Callithrix jacchus: one gene and its partners. The protein of the gene in region 3 interacts with the protein of the main gene of each other region in a biochemical or structural test. Links are inferred from orthologs where the notes say so. Each region holds a gene or a part of one and is shown on either strand. Other genes may lie near its edges.

Region 1 (3,306 bases), on a different chromosome or scaffold from region 3:
CTCAAGTAAATAGGTAAGGAAAGGAATTCCCATTGATTGGGACCCTTATTTAACTTTCCCAGTGGTTATTTCTATTTGGTATTATTCTTCCAGAACTTGTTCCAGATGTTTACTCTCTGTGCAGTGATGTAAGCTAATGCTGCATAGACCTGTATAGCACTGAATATAACAATTCCCTTATTGTTGAAGATGTCAGTTGTTTCCATTTTTTCACTGTTACATTTTCAACTGAAAATAATGAAGGTAGACCTAAGAATTGGAGAAATGGAGCAAAGAACAGGAGAAACCAATCGAAAACTAAAAATACAAAGAATTGATGTGGGTTAATTCACATTTTATATATATCATTACAATGATCAGGAGAAAAATGGGCAAAAGATGTGGAGCAGTTCTCAGAGAAAATACAAATGGCCAGTAATATTTTTCATGGTCAGTTTTGGTAATAAAGTAGGGCAAACAATTCAGTTGGCTCCACAAAAGATGAAACATAAATTTCCCCCTCACTTTCCTATGATGGCATGTACTAAATTGTCACACCATTTAAGAACCTATAGGAAATAAGAGTTTAAAGGAACAAGTGTTACAGATGAGTTCTAGAGAGCCCTACGAAGCTGATTTAGAGAAAAGAAAGCCTCCACCTAAAGAGTAGCATGAGCTGGCTCTCTATTATAGGCAAATAAGTTACTCCTGACCTCAGGTGATCCACCCGCCTTAGCCTCCCAAAGTGCTGAGATTACAAGTGTGAGCCACCATGCCCAGCCCTGGAAATAAGAGTTTTAGAACATCTGATAGAAATAAACTCATGTGGAAATAAATTTTCCAAGATTAACTTTTTTTTTTTTTAAACAAAGATGCTCCCATAATACTCTCCGATAGTGAAGAAGAAGAAATGATCATTTTAGAACCAGACAAGAATCCAAAGAAAATAAGGTAACAAATTTCTGGTTTATTTCAAATGTATACATATACTGAACACTTCTAGAGGTTTGCTCTCTGGTTTTACTCTCATCTTGCCACACGACTATAAACAAAAAGACTTCCCTTTTTCATTAGATATCCATCTGTTCTGTGATTTACACCTTGTGACTTATAAAAACTCTTTGGATACCACTTTTACTCATAGCTGACACATTTTATATCCTATTAGAAAAATAAGAAATGCCTCTTATTTCAATAATCCAAAATTTAACAAGCATACTCTTAGTAAATTCTTACTTTATATTCACAGAACACAGACCATCAGTGTAAAACAGGAGAAAGCACCAAATAAAAAGCCAGTGAAAAGAAGAAAAAAGAAGAGAGCTGCCAATTAAAGCTAACAGTTGTATATTTGTATATAAGTATTAAAAGGGTATTTATTCCATTCTAACAATCCTGGGTATTTTTTATTCACAAATCCATTATAAAATCTAGCAGGATTTTTAAAAGTTTTTTGTTTTTAATGGTATGCTTTGAAATAAACCTTCTGGAGCATTTCTTGTCTGTTAATTTGCACATAAGCTTCCCACCTCTCTCCTGCTCCCAGCCTCTGTTGAGTTTACCTCACAAAACCTAATCAAGTTTTACAAAGAGCCAAAGTCTAGGGATCTCCACTCTACTGGTAAGTACAGATTTATTCCAGATATGCTTAGATTATGCTCAAGTCAGCAAATTAATCCAGTTGCTTAGGAATATGAATGTCAGAATTTGAGAGTCTGTTTTCCTAAAACTAATTTTAGAGGAAGGCTTTTCACTTTCCATTACAGTAAACCAAATTAACTTTTCTAAGTGAAATCCTGAAGAAGTTAAATTTGGCTTGCAAAGTTTTCCAAATCAATTTATTGTTATAATCCTGAGAGCTGGCATCATTAATACTTTAAGAAAACCACTTAAAATTAGCCAAATATCTAAGACAGATACATATACAAAAGATATACAAATTAAAACCATTTAAAAAGTAATGGATACCATAATTTGTACTTTGCCATAACTTCTGTATTCAGAAATGATTGTAAAAACCTAAATTAAAAACTATACACCATATACTTTGAGTGATTTACATCTTAGAAAGCAAAGGCAGTCTTTCATTGTTACAGATTTAGTGTCTCTGGTGGGTTGAGGAGAGAAACACCATGATACCTATAAATAGGGGAAAAAAACATTTTTAGTAAACATTCACTGGGTAAAGAAGATCATGGAATAATGTATGTGTTGGGAACTAAAAAATGCTATATCTGACCGAGTTGATGGTTTTAGAAACATTGTCTAATACCTGAAATACACATCCATGCCCCTTCCTTCTCCCTTCTCCCCTAGACCCAGGACAGAAAGCATTAACTACAACCTTCGAACACATAACCAGTTAAGAGAACAGATTCTCAAGGAGGCTATGGCAGATTCATGAATAAAGTTAGAATGTCAAAGATCTCTAAATTATAGTCTAGAAAAGTAGCTTCAATATCCAAGTTAATTCTTACTTTGAATGTTTGTACTTTTCTCTTATTGACTGTTGTGCATGCTGTGGTGCTTTGAGGTAGGTCTGATGAAGGTCCATGAGACAAGGCTTAAGACTTTCCAGGGTATATCCAGTCTTCTGGACTAATGATTCAGGCTACAGAGAAGGGAATAGAGAACCCCTGAGTTTTGCTTTTAGTAACACACCAAACAGAGTTAACAGTTGGCATTAAGTTTATGTTACATTCCAGTACTAATCTTTAACTCTTCCAACTAGTTTTCTCAGGCCACTATTCCATCTCTGAATCCATTTGTTGCTGCTTTCCCTGCCAGCAATAGATCAGAGACTTTTTAAAAAGCTCACCTTTCAATCCAAGTTACAACTAAGCTTTCCACCTGACAAACAGATGCTGTACAACAGGTAACATGCCTTAAACTGTATATAACCATCCCTCAGTATACACGATGGATTGCTTCTGGGACCTTCCCCGAATATACCAAAATCTCTATACCCTCAAGTCCTGCAGTCACCCTTCCATATATATGGGTTTTGAATTCCCTGAATACTGTATTTTCAATCCACATTTGACTGGAAAAAGGTTCATGTGTAAGTGGACTCACACAGTTCAAACCTGTATGAGTGTTTTTCAAGGGTCAACTGTATGTATTTGAAGTTTTTCCAAGTAAGAACATCCAGGCAACCCTCAGTTTTGTAGGACAATTACTTAATCTGGCACAGGCATTTGAATTACAAGGTAGGTGTGTGAAGACTGTGATACATACCCAGCTTTGTCCCGTGACTGTATAGAGTGCTAAATGAAAGGCGGCTCCAGCAATAACCGATGGCAAATACTTCAGGTATGGGTCAGCATC
Region 2 (5,060 bases), on a different chromosome or scaffold from region 3:
GGCCAGATGGCTGACACATCTCAGAGCGAGCCTTTGGATAGAAACAAGTCCAGCAACAGTTCCCAAGCGAACTAGGTGAACCACGAGCAGACGAATGGTTTCCAAAGTTGGCCTTTTTAGGGACCAGCGGATGAGGGAGAATGTCCTTTACTTGAGTGTACACCAAGTTTCAAAGCAAGACCCGTCTGACTTTATTTAGGAAGGAATTTAGATAACAGCAACAGACCAATGGGATTCCTAACCACTCTGACTCCTCATACTACTTTTCTTCCTTATGAGGATTATTTTCTGAAAAGTAACAGTACAGGATTCCACTTCAATGGAAAGATTGGGTCTCATGCAAAAAAATTAAACGGATCTCAGATAAAAGGGTATTCTTTTCATTCAGAACAGCCTAAGATGAAAATCGAAATGTGGTCTTGAAGCATTTTCACAAGAGTCTAGCACTGTGGCTCCGAGTAGCTCAGGATTGTTGTACTGGGGGGGGAAGTATGATAACTCCAGAGAAAACTTCTGTATGTGAACAGGGAAAAGGTTCTGTTGTACCCCAGAGTTCTAGTTTCATGAATCTTCACAGAGAAATAACAAAGATACTGCTCCATAGATAGACAGCTAATGTTTAAGCTATCTACTCTACAAAATGTACAGAAATCTGTTGCCATTCATCTCTGGATAACCACGAAAGTGCCTTCTAGTGGGAAATGATATGGCTACTCCAGTAGCACAGCAATTCATGCTCTGTGGCCAGGGCACAGAGCCACAGTCCGTCCCAGGCACCCTCGTCGCTCAGGCTATCCTTGAGAACAGACACGCTTCTAAAACTCCAAGAATGCAACCGGGACGGCCCTGCTTCACCATCAGTTGGAAGTTTCTTTTCTATTCAAAACACAGCTGGGAAAATAAACAATCCTGAATTTCACAAAGTCAGGATTCATTTTATAATACCTACAAAATCAACTTGCTTGATTTGAACATACTTTTTTTTTTTAAGGGGAGAAAAAGAAAACTTTGGATATGCCATCTCATTTCCTTTTCTGAAATGACTTCTTCCAAGGAAGCCTTCTTTGAAATCAGCAACTCTTCCTTCCATATTCACTGAATCCTCCTCAGAAATGCTTATTTTGGGGGGGGGCCTTAATGTGCAGTGACAATGGCTACTGTGAACACAAGCCCATTGCTTTGAAACATGCGTCCCCACCTGAAACATGCGTCCCCTGGCTGCTGTTGTGCTAAGTGACCTGCTCCTCTGCTAACCTAGCTGGGATTCCTGCTCTCAGCTCAAACACTGTTAATGTTCAGCATTTATCTGTGATAGAGGCAGAAGGCCTGACCAGCCAGTTTAGAGATAGGCTGCTTCCCCTACTCCTGCCATAGCTACAGTCTCCAGTCATTTCTGAAAGTAAAGAGATAGTACAAGCTTTTCCTGCAAGAAACTTCTAATATTACAATGATGATCACCCTGCAGGCAGGAAATTCGGCAGGAATTCCATAAGGAGAGAAAAGAAAAGCCGTCAAGGAAATATCTTGAGACACCACCTATCATTACATGGAATGGTCCACTGATACTCCTGCTGAGGTCAGGCTGAGCTGGGGATCAATGCAGGTAATTGCTGGAGGGGCTAGAAGAACTTCAGGGCCAGAAAGAGGAGAATTTGAAACCTAACCTAAAGAAGATGAGGAGGTTCTTAAGTACCACGACAAACAAAATAGATATAGAATGGGGGGGGGTGCTGTTGCTTATGAACACACAGGAACCCTTCCCCAATTCACCAACTTTTACAGACAAGGCCAAGCGCCCAACTTTGCCCCTGGATGGCACAGGACTCTGGATTAATTTCTTCTTGAGTCTCAGTTTCCTCCCAGGCAGAAGGGAGGAGTGAACAATGTGATGTCCACGCTGGTTGTTCCAGCCATCAGCACATATCTGTAATCTCAGATGGTGCCAGTCAGGAACACCAAGCCTCCTGGAACCCCAGGACTGGCAGAGGCTGGTGCCCACTGACACATACAGTGCTGGGCCATATGGGCTGTGGCTGTATTAGAGAAATTAATTCTCACCAGCGTGTCTTCATCGGGACACAAGAAAACATGAAACGCCATGTGACTCACAGACAGCAGAAGGACCTCCACAGAGGCCCAACCCCGGGTCGACCTACCTGGCTTCCACATTGGTCCCTCGCTGTCTTGTCGATTTTGGCCATTTCTTCATCTGGATCCTGCAAAAACTAACATGAAGCCACCCCCACGGCCCCAAGGAGACACATCAAACAAGACAAAAATAGAGAGAGAATAGAAGAGAAAGTTGATCAGGTTATGAGCACCGTTCCTGCCCAAGGGACCCCCGCCCCGCAGGCAGAGCCAAGTCAGGTACCCAGGTGAGATGGGGGAGTGCTCCCCAACCTGTCTCCTTTGTACTCACAACGGCCACGTTTGCCTTCCTCTTCCTGGAGCGAGCCGAGAACTCCGCGCCGCCGTCCTCCTTCATGGTGTCCCGCTCCTTCGCATCCCTGTGGACCCGGGTGGCACCGGGTCGGGTGAGCACCCGTGGCTGCCCCTCCCCCACGCCACCCGTCCTGTCCCGTCCAGCCCCGCGGCGCGGGCACTCACCGCTCCCTGCGCTCCCTCGGCATGGTGGGACTGCTCCGGCCTGAGGCCTGCGGGGCGGCGCGGGGTGAGGCGGCAGCGGGGTCAGGCCGCGGGCCCGGCACCCCTCCCCCCTCGCTCGCGGGCGGCAGGGCGGGCCGGGAAGATGGCCGATGGTGGGGTGGCCTGTCACCCGCGACCCGCCCGCGCCCCGCACCCCTGCCGACCCCCGACCCAGGGGACCCGCCGCCCCCTCCCCATCCGTCGCCTCCCGGGGCCCGGGCTGCCTCAGTGTCCCCCTCCACCCCTCTCCGCCGCGCTCCCAGCACCCTCCTGGGGAGCCCCGCGCCGCCGCCCGGGGACCCGCGACCTGGTCGCACCCCGCCCCCACCCAGATCCCCGGCGCGATCCGGGCCCCGGGAGTCCCTGCCCGCAGCCCGCAGCTGGAGCCTCACCAGGATCGTGTCCGCGACGGGCAGCACGCTCCAGCCCCGGCAGGCGGCGGCGGCGGCGGCGGGAGGCGGCGGGCCGAGCGCGCGGCGGTGGCGGGATCCGCGCCTGCCCCCTACACCGCGCTGGCGGCCGCGCCGGCTGCTCCTGCGCCCGGCTCAGAGCGGGACATTTAAAATCCCTGCGCGCGGAACCGGCCCCGGCCCGCCCTCGCACCGCCCCGCCGCAGCTCTCAGCCCCTCAGCGGCCGCGCCGGGCCCGGGGCCCGCCCCACCCCGTCCCTCTCCCCGCCCCCGGGTCCGCCCCTCCGCGGCGCCGGCCAGCGAGGCGCAGGGACGGGGAATCGGGGGCGGGGCCTGATCGACGGGGCGGAGCCAAGTGACAGGGCCTGCGCGCCGAGGGCCGGGCGGCGCGGGGCGCGGGGCGCGGGACGCGGGGCGGGGCGGCGGGCGGGACGCGGGAGAAGTCTGGCGCGCGGCGGCAAGGGGCGGGCCGCGGGCGCCGGGGGCGGGGCCAAGTGGCTCTGGAGCGGCAAAAAGCCGCGTGGCCGGCGCGGGTGGAATGTAAACACGGCAGGCGGCGCGGGTTCGGGCCCCTACAGGACCGAGCCGAGGGATGTGTGGGGGGCCTGCCCGGGAAGCGCCGCCCGCTCTTCCGCCGCGCGCGCTGTCCCACTAGGCACGCCTTCCCCGCCCCGGGTACGCCGGGTTCCGGGCCCTGAGTCCGGGGCGGGGACATCCCCAAGGTCACCACGCCTGTGCCTGGGCCTAGAACCAAGGTTTCAGGCCGCGGGGTCTGGGGCTCCCTGGGGATCAGCTGCTATTCTTGGCCTCCTGTCCATTCATCCTTCAGTGCACTGGGTCGGTCGTTCATTCATTCATTCATTCATTCATTCAACTAATATGTGAGTTTCTTCCGTTCCTCCCTATCATACGCGCCCCTCCCCCGCAAGCTTTTCCGGGGCATTCTGAAGACCTTTCTGACCCTGGGATTCCCGAGCATTTTTGCTTCTCTAGCTTAAAGCCTTCCAGTTGAGGCCAGGCACCGTGGCTCACGCCTGGAATCCCAGCATTTTTGGAGGCCGAGACCGCCGACCCCTTGGGGTGTTTGAGACCAGCTTGGGTAACAGCGAGACCCCATTTCCACACACAAAAAAAGAAACAAAACGTCTTCCAATTGTTTCCCATCAGCTAAGGATCAAATCCATACTCCCTGTCTTGGGCTACAGGCTCCACAGGACCTGGCCCTGACCCTGCCCTCAAACCTCAGGCCTCCCCTCCACAGCTCCTCTGTCTTTCCTCCCTCAAGACTTATATTTTTTTCTGGGTCGGGGGAGAGGGAAGGGGTAAGGTCTCGCTATGTTGCTCAGACTGGTCTCAAACCCCTGATCTCAAGCGATCCTCCCGCCTTGGCCTCCCAAAGTGCTGGGAGCCCAGCCCCTACACAGTCTGTTTCTTCTCTCTCCTCACCTTGCCTATCTTGCTTACTGCTGTAACCCTCAGTTCTTGGGTGCCTGGACCAAAGGAGACACTTAAATTGTGTTTCTGAATGAAAGACAGGCACTAGCCAAGCCCTTGCAGAGCTTGCCAGCTAATGAGAGAGACAGGTAGGGAACAGTCATCACTTCAGAGTATTCTCTGTGCTCAGCTTCAGGAAGACGTGCATAAAAGAAGGCTCTGGAACGTTCCCCAGGGCCCTTCTTAAGCTAAAGTCTCAGTCCTGCCCCTCACCCTCCCCTAGTGACCTTTTTCTTGACATTAGATCCAGGGTCTTATTGAAGAGGCTTACACATTTGTGACCCCCCAAGCGCTCTGAGGCCAAGGCTGCTGGGCTGCTTGCTCAGCATGGACTCACCAGGCACCTGAACCCCCAATCAATCGTGTGCCCGTTAGGAATCACCAGTAACAGGTATCATAAACGGTATTTCGAAAATGGCAACGTTGGGCTAAGTCCTTCAAAGTATCATATTATCTCAATGAAACTTCCCAATAATCCTATTCATGTTGATACCACGGTTATCCTGTTTC
Region 3 (4,356 bases):
CACAGCATATCTAGTTTTGCTTGGCTTAGGGTTCAGGTAGCTCCCAAATTCACTTTTCTGTGAGGTGTTCATCTTCCTGAAAAATGTATATTGTTTAGGAAGAAAATGAATGTTCCAAAACTTTTCCTAGGTTGTTATTGAATGCTAGTTAACCTATAGTTTGCCTTCTTGCAAGAGGAGACATCAAGCATGAGATTCAAGACAACCAGAGCAGTGCTGATCTGGTGCCTATCAGTGCTGACCTTGGAGGCCAAAATGGATTTCTGTCTGGGCAAGAAAGATACAAAAGTGTGCTACTCTCTTAAGGATATCTTATCTACAGTCCACCTTTTTAATGATAAAGGTCAAATCACACACTGACAATTTCTCTATGATGAAATTATTTCATAACTCTGGCCAGTGGTCCTCTTATTTCGAGCACTATTAAAAAAGAAGATTCTAGAACACTTAAACATTTAAAAAGTTCCTTCATGTGCTTGTATTTTACATTTTCTTTTTTTAAATTGAATTCAAGATATTAAAACTCTCTTACTGTGCTATTCAGTACAGTTTTTGAATGTCCTTTTTGTTTTAGAAACACCATTTTTTATATAATCTTTTATAAAAATATAACAAAAAGTTGTATTTTTCCTTTCTGTTTTCACATTAGTTAAGCTTAAAAGATATTATAAGGCACAGCTGAACTATGGCTGTTCCTACTGGCTATCTATGACAACCTTATTTCACAATAAAATAACGCTAACTTTCCTTTGTTTAGTAATATTTTCATGTTACTACAGTAGTCGTGGTAATTGCTTAACAAAAGTGGCTAATAGAATCCTCTAAGAAGTTTTTAATCTACTTGCCTAGTAATATAATAATTAATTGATTTGAGCAATCATTTCTTAAATTTATCAGCTTGAATGCTGGAATATTATTCTCTGGTTCTAGATTATGGCAGTGCTAATATTCACATTGAACCATCTAAATTGGAAGTATATATAGAAAGAGAAAGATGGAAGCTTATCCTTGGTGAGATCGAGAAAAATTTTCTAGTACCTCAAAAATATCATAACTAATTGTATAGTCAACTTAAAAACAAAGGTTCTTTCAGAATGTGCGTAAAGGGGATTTAACAGCAGTGCTCTCCTTATTAGTAATGTTGAGGGTCTCCAGCATTTAGTGTGACTGACTGGCCAAATTAAGCACCTCCTCTTTTCTAGGTTTGACGAGTCTCTGTGGCAAACCTTAGACCTCACAGGTAAAAATCTGCACCCGGATGTTACTGGTCGGTTGCTGTCTCAAGGGGTGATTGCCTTCCGCTGCCCACGATCATTTATGGACCAACCATTAGCTGAACATTTCAGGTAAAGATGAAAAATCTCTGGAAAAGATGATTTCTAAATTTTGAGGTAGAAACAGATCAAAGCTTTTTTTCTTAATTCAGCCTTATAGCCTATGATAGGTTATCTTTGCAGTGTGGGATATTAATTGCATACTATACTTTGAGGACTTTGTGCTGAAACAGCATAGATTTCAATGACACTGTTCCCATTTCATTCGAGGTTATTGTTAATCTCTTCCTAGGGTAAAAGAAGCACAGTTGTCTTCTCAAGTCCTCAACTGATGGGGGCCGTGAGTCCCACAGGGCAGGCACAAGTAAAGCACTCACTGGCAGATGCAAGGCTGCCCGGATATTTTCCCACCACCCATTTCTGATAAAAAAAAAAAAAATGAGGAGTGTTTTCTTATTTGTAGCTTGGGGTTTATGATTTTGTTGGGGAGAAATTTGGAACCTGAAAAAACATTGCCCTCTTTTTGTTCGTTTTGTAGAATATTTTGAAAAAGAATTTTCTGTTACTGGTAATGTTGTAATACTAAGGTTACTGCTATCACATACTTGAGTAGAATAACTAGGTACTGAACAGAAAACAAACTGAGGACTGCAGAGCTAAAGATAAAACATGTCTCTTGACTTCAATACTTTTTCCTTTCTTTCTATAGTCAGAATCACGTTTCCCTCTGCTTTTTAATCCCATTCTCCTGTGGCTGTACCTTCTCGATCTCCTTCACACGTGTGATTTCCTTTGTTTACTCCAGGGTTGGTTCCTGGCTGCCGCCTTTTTCAAATCCAAATGCTGTCCTTGGACAAGCTGTGTCCTATACACCCACATTTATGCCCAGGACTCTCAGTTCCTCATCTATAGCTTGGCCCTCTTTCAAACTCCCAAATTTCTAATTACCTAAAAACTTCTGTACCTGAATTTCTTACAAGTACTTCAATATTAACATAACTAAAATCCAATTTGGCTTCCTTTCCCTCCCCTTCTGCAAGACGGAGTCTCACTCTGTCACCCAGGCTGGAGTGCAGTGGCGCAATCTTGGCTCTCTGCAACCTCCGCCTACTGGGCTCAAGCAATTCTCCTGTTTCAGCCTCTCTAGTAGCTGGGACTATGGGTGTCCTCCAACACTCCTGGCTACTTTTTTGTATTTTTAGTCAAGATGGGGTTTCACCATGCTGGCCAGGCTGGTCTCAAACTCCTGACCTTGTGATCGACCCGCCTCTGCCTCCCAAAGTGCTGGGATTACAAGCGTGAGCCACTGTGCCTGGCCTGGCCTCCGTTTAAAACTTGCTCTTCCACTGTCTTCCCTGTTCCACCGCTGCTCACCCACTCACCCTTGCCAGAAACCAGGAGCCATTATAGTCTTAATCTCTCCTTATCACCCACATCCAGCTCCTTGTTGTGATGCCCACTCATTGTTTCCTATGTGGGACTATATTGGCAGCAACATCTGTACTTGGCAAAAAATCCCCTTGAATTTTAAAATGAATGAGAGTGGGAATACACTAGTAGCAATTTGTTTTATGACGAAAGCTATAGTTAATGCTTGAAGTGTGTATTTCGGGTCTTGTTGGTGATTGGCTGCTCATTTGGGGAGCAGGAGGGGTCTGATTTGATCTGAATGTACCTGTGAGAGCCACCTATGGAGACCCTTTTTTCTCTCCCTGTTTAGCCCTTTTCGTGTGCAGCACATGGACCTGTCAAACTCGGTTATTGAAGTGTCCACCCTCCAGGGCATTCTGTCTCAGTGTTCCAAGTTGCAGAATCTAAGCCTGGAAGGCCTGCGGCTGTCGGATCCCATTGTCAAGTGAGTGGCAGCCAGAGTGTCACAAAGGCAGTTGTTTTTATGTGTATGAATTTTTTCCTGTATGTAACTAGGGTGCCCTTCTAGCCACATCCAGGTGGATACATAAAGTATCTAGTACAGTGCTCAAGCTTCTGCAGAACTTTTCAGGACTCGTTGAAGCAACAAAAGCTTGAATTCTAACTATATGCCAGGCCCTGTGCTAGGTTCTAGAGATACAAGGGTGAACAAATAATGCATGTGTATTATTTGGGAAGAAAACGAATGTTCCAAAACGTTTTCCAGGTTGTTAGTGAATGCTGATTAAGCTATAGTTTACCTTCTTGCAAGAGGAAACATTGAGCAAGACATGTCTGTTTCCTCTTGCAAGAAGGTAAACTATTTATGAGCAAGACAGATAATTACCATGCAGTGTGTTTATTAAATGTTTCGGTGAATATGTGGCAACACACGGGCGGCCTTCTTAGAGGAAGTGACTCTTAAGCTGAGTATTGAAGATATCTAGGTAGGAGATCTCCAGGTAATAAGACAAAGGAACCAGCCTAGGTAAAGCTTTCTGTGTGGTTCTAAACTCGTAAGTAGTTGGAAGTTGCTGGCGCACAGGACTCAGGAAGGGGAGTGACAGGAGGTGAGGAGAGTCAGGGACCAGATTGTAATGGGCCTGTATGTCTTACTGTAAGAAGAATGGACTCTTCCATCAAGAGGGAAGCATGGGCCGGTCGTGGTGGCTGACACCTGCAAGCACTTTGGGAGACTGAGGTGGGCGGATCACCTGAGATTCGGAGTTCGAGACCAGCCTGGCCCACGTGGTAAAACCACATCTCTACTAAAAGTACAAAAATTAACTGGGCATAGTGGCAGATGCCTGTAATCCCAGCCACTCAGGAGGCTGAGGCAGGAGAATCGCTTGAACCCAGGAGGCAGAGGTTGCCGTGAGCTGAGACCATGCCATTGGATTCCAGCCTGGGTGACAAGAGCAAAACTCAGCCTCAAAAAAAAAAGAAGAAAAAAAAAAAGAGGGAAGCATGGTGGAGAGAGTGGTTCTGAGAATGCAAGGAACATGTCAAGAGTTGAAATTTAGGAAATTAACCTGCCAGGCACCATGAAGGGTCCACTGAGGATAGAAGAAGCTAGAGTAGTTAAGGATACTGCTGTGTTCATTCAGGGGAGAAAAGATGAAGTCTAACATAAAACAGATAGCAATAATAGCAGATAATGTTTTGGGGCATG

The links.
Region 1: the proteins of SKP2 (region 3) and CCNA2 are reported together in a solved structure, tested with the Homo sapiens proteins (2 studies listed by BioGRID, with this or other methods). The link is inferred for Callithrix jacchus from reciprocal best matches to the Homo sapiens genes SKP2 and CCNA2.
Region 2: the proteins of SKP2 (region 3) and CCNE1 form a complex in vitro, tested with the Homo sapiens proteins (2 studies listed by BioGRID, with this or other methods). The link is inferred for Callithrix jacchus from reciprocal best matches to the Homo sapiens genes SKP2 and CCNE1.

Annotation. Positions count from the first base shown.
Region 1 is NC_133504.1:75,869,845-75,873,150, reverse strand, and holds the end of CCNA2 (cyclin-A2), read right to left. Parts: coding exon 3,217-3,306; intron 2,591-3,216; coding exon 2,457-2,590; intron 2,119-2,456; coding exon 2,070-2,118; 3' UTR 1,314-2,069; coding exon of another isoform or gene 1,229-1,313; 3' UTR 931-1,228; downstream 1-930. Other genes in the region: EXOSC9 (exosome complex component RRP45), read left to right, coding at 852-930, 1,229-1,313. UniProt on the Homo sapiens protein: Cyclin which controls both the G1/S and the G2/M transition phases of the cell cycle. Functions through the formation of specific serine/threonine protein kinase holoenzyme complexes with the cyclin-dependent protein kinases CDK1 or CDK2.
Region 2 is NC_133523.1:26,996,777-27,001,836, reverse strand, and holds the start of CCNE1 (G1/S-specific cyclin-E1), read right to left. Parts: upstream 3,183-5,060; 5' UTR 3,039-3,182; intron 2,655-3,038; 5' UTR 2,631-2,654; coding exon 2,608-2,630; intron 2,508-2,607; coding exon 2,420-2,507; intron 2,226-2,419; coding exon 2,157-2,225; intron 1-2,156. UniProt on the Homo sapiens protein: Essential for the control of the cell cycle at the G1/S (start) transition.
Region 3 is NC_133503.1:169,473,388-169,477,743, reverse strand, and holds part of SKP2 (S-phase kinase-associated protein 2), read left to right. Parts: intron 1-1,202; coding exon 1,203-1,346; intron 1,347-2,994; coding exon 2,995-3,129; intron 3,130-4,356. UniProt on the Homo sapiens protein: Substrate recognition component of a SCF (SKP1-CUL1-F-box protein) E3 ubiquitin-protein ligase complex which mediates the ubiquitination and subsequent proteasomal degradation of target proteins involved in cell cycle progression, signal transduction and transcription.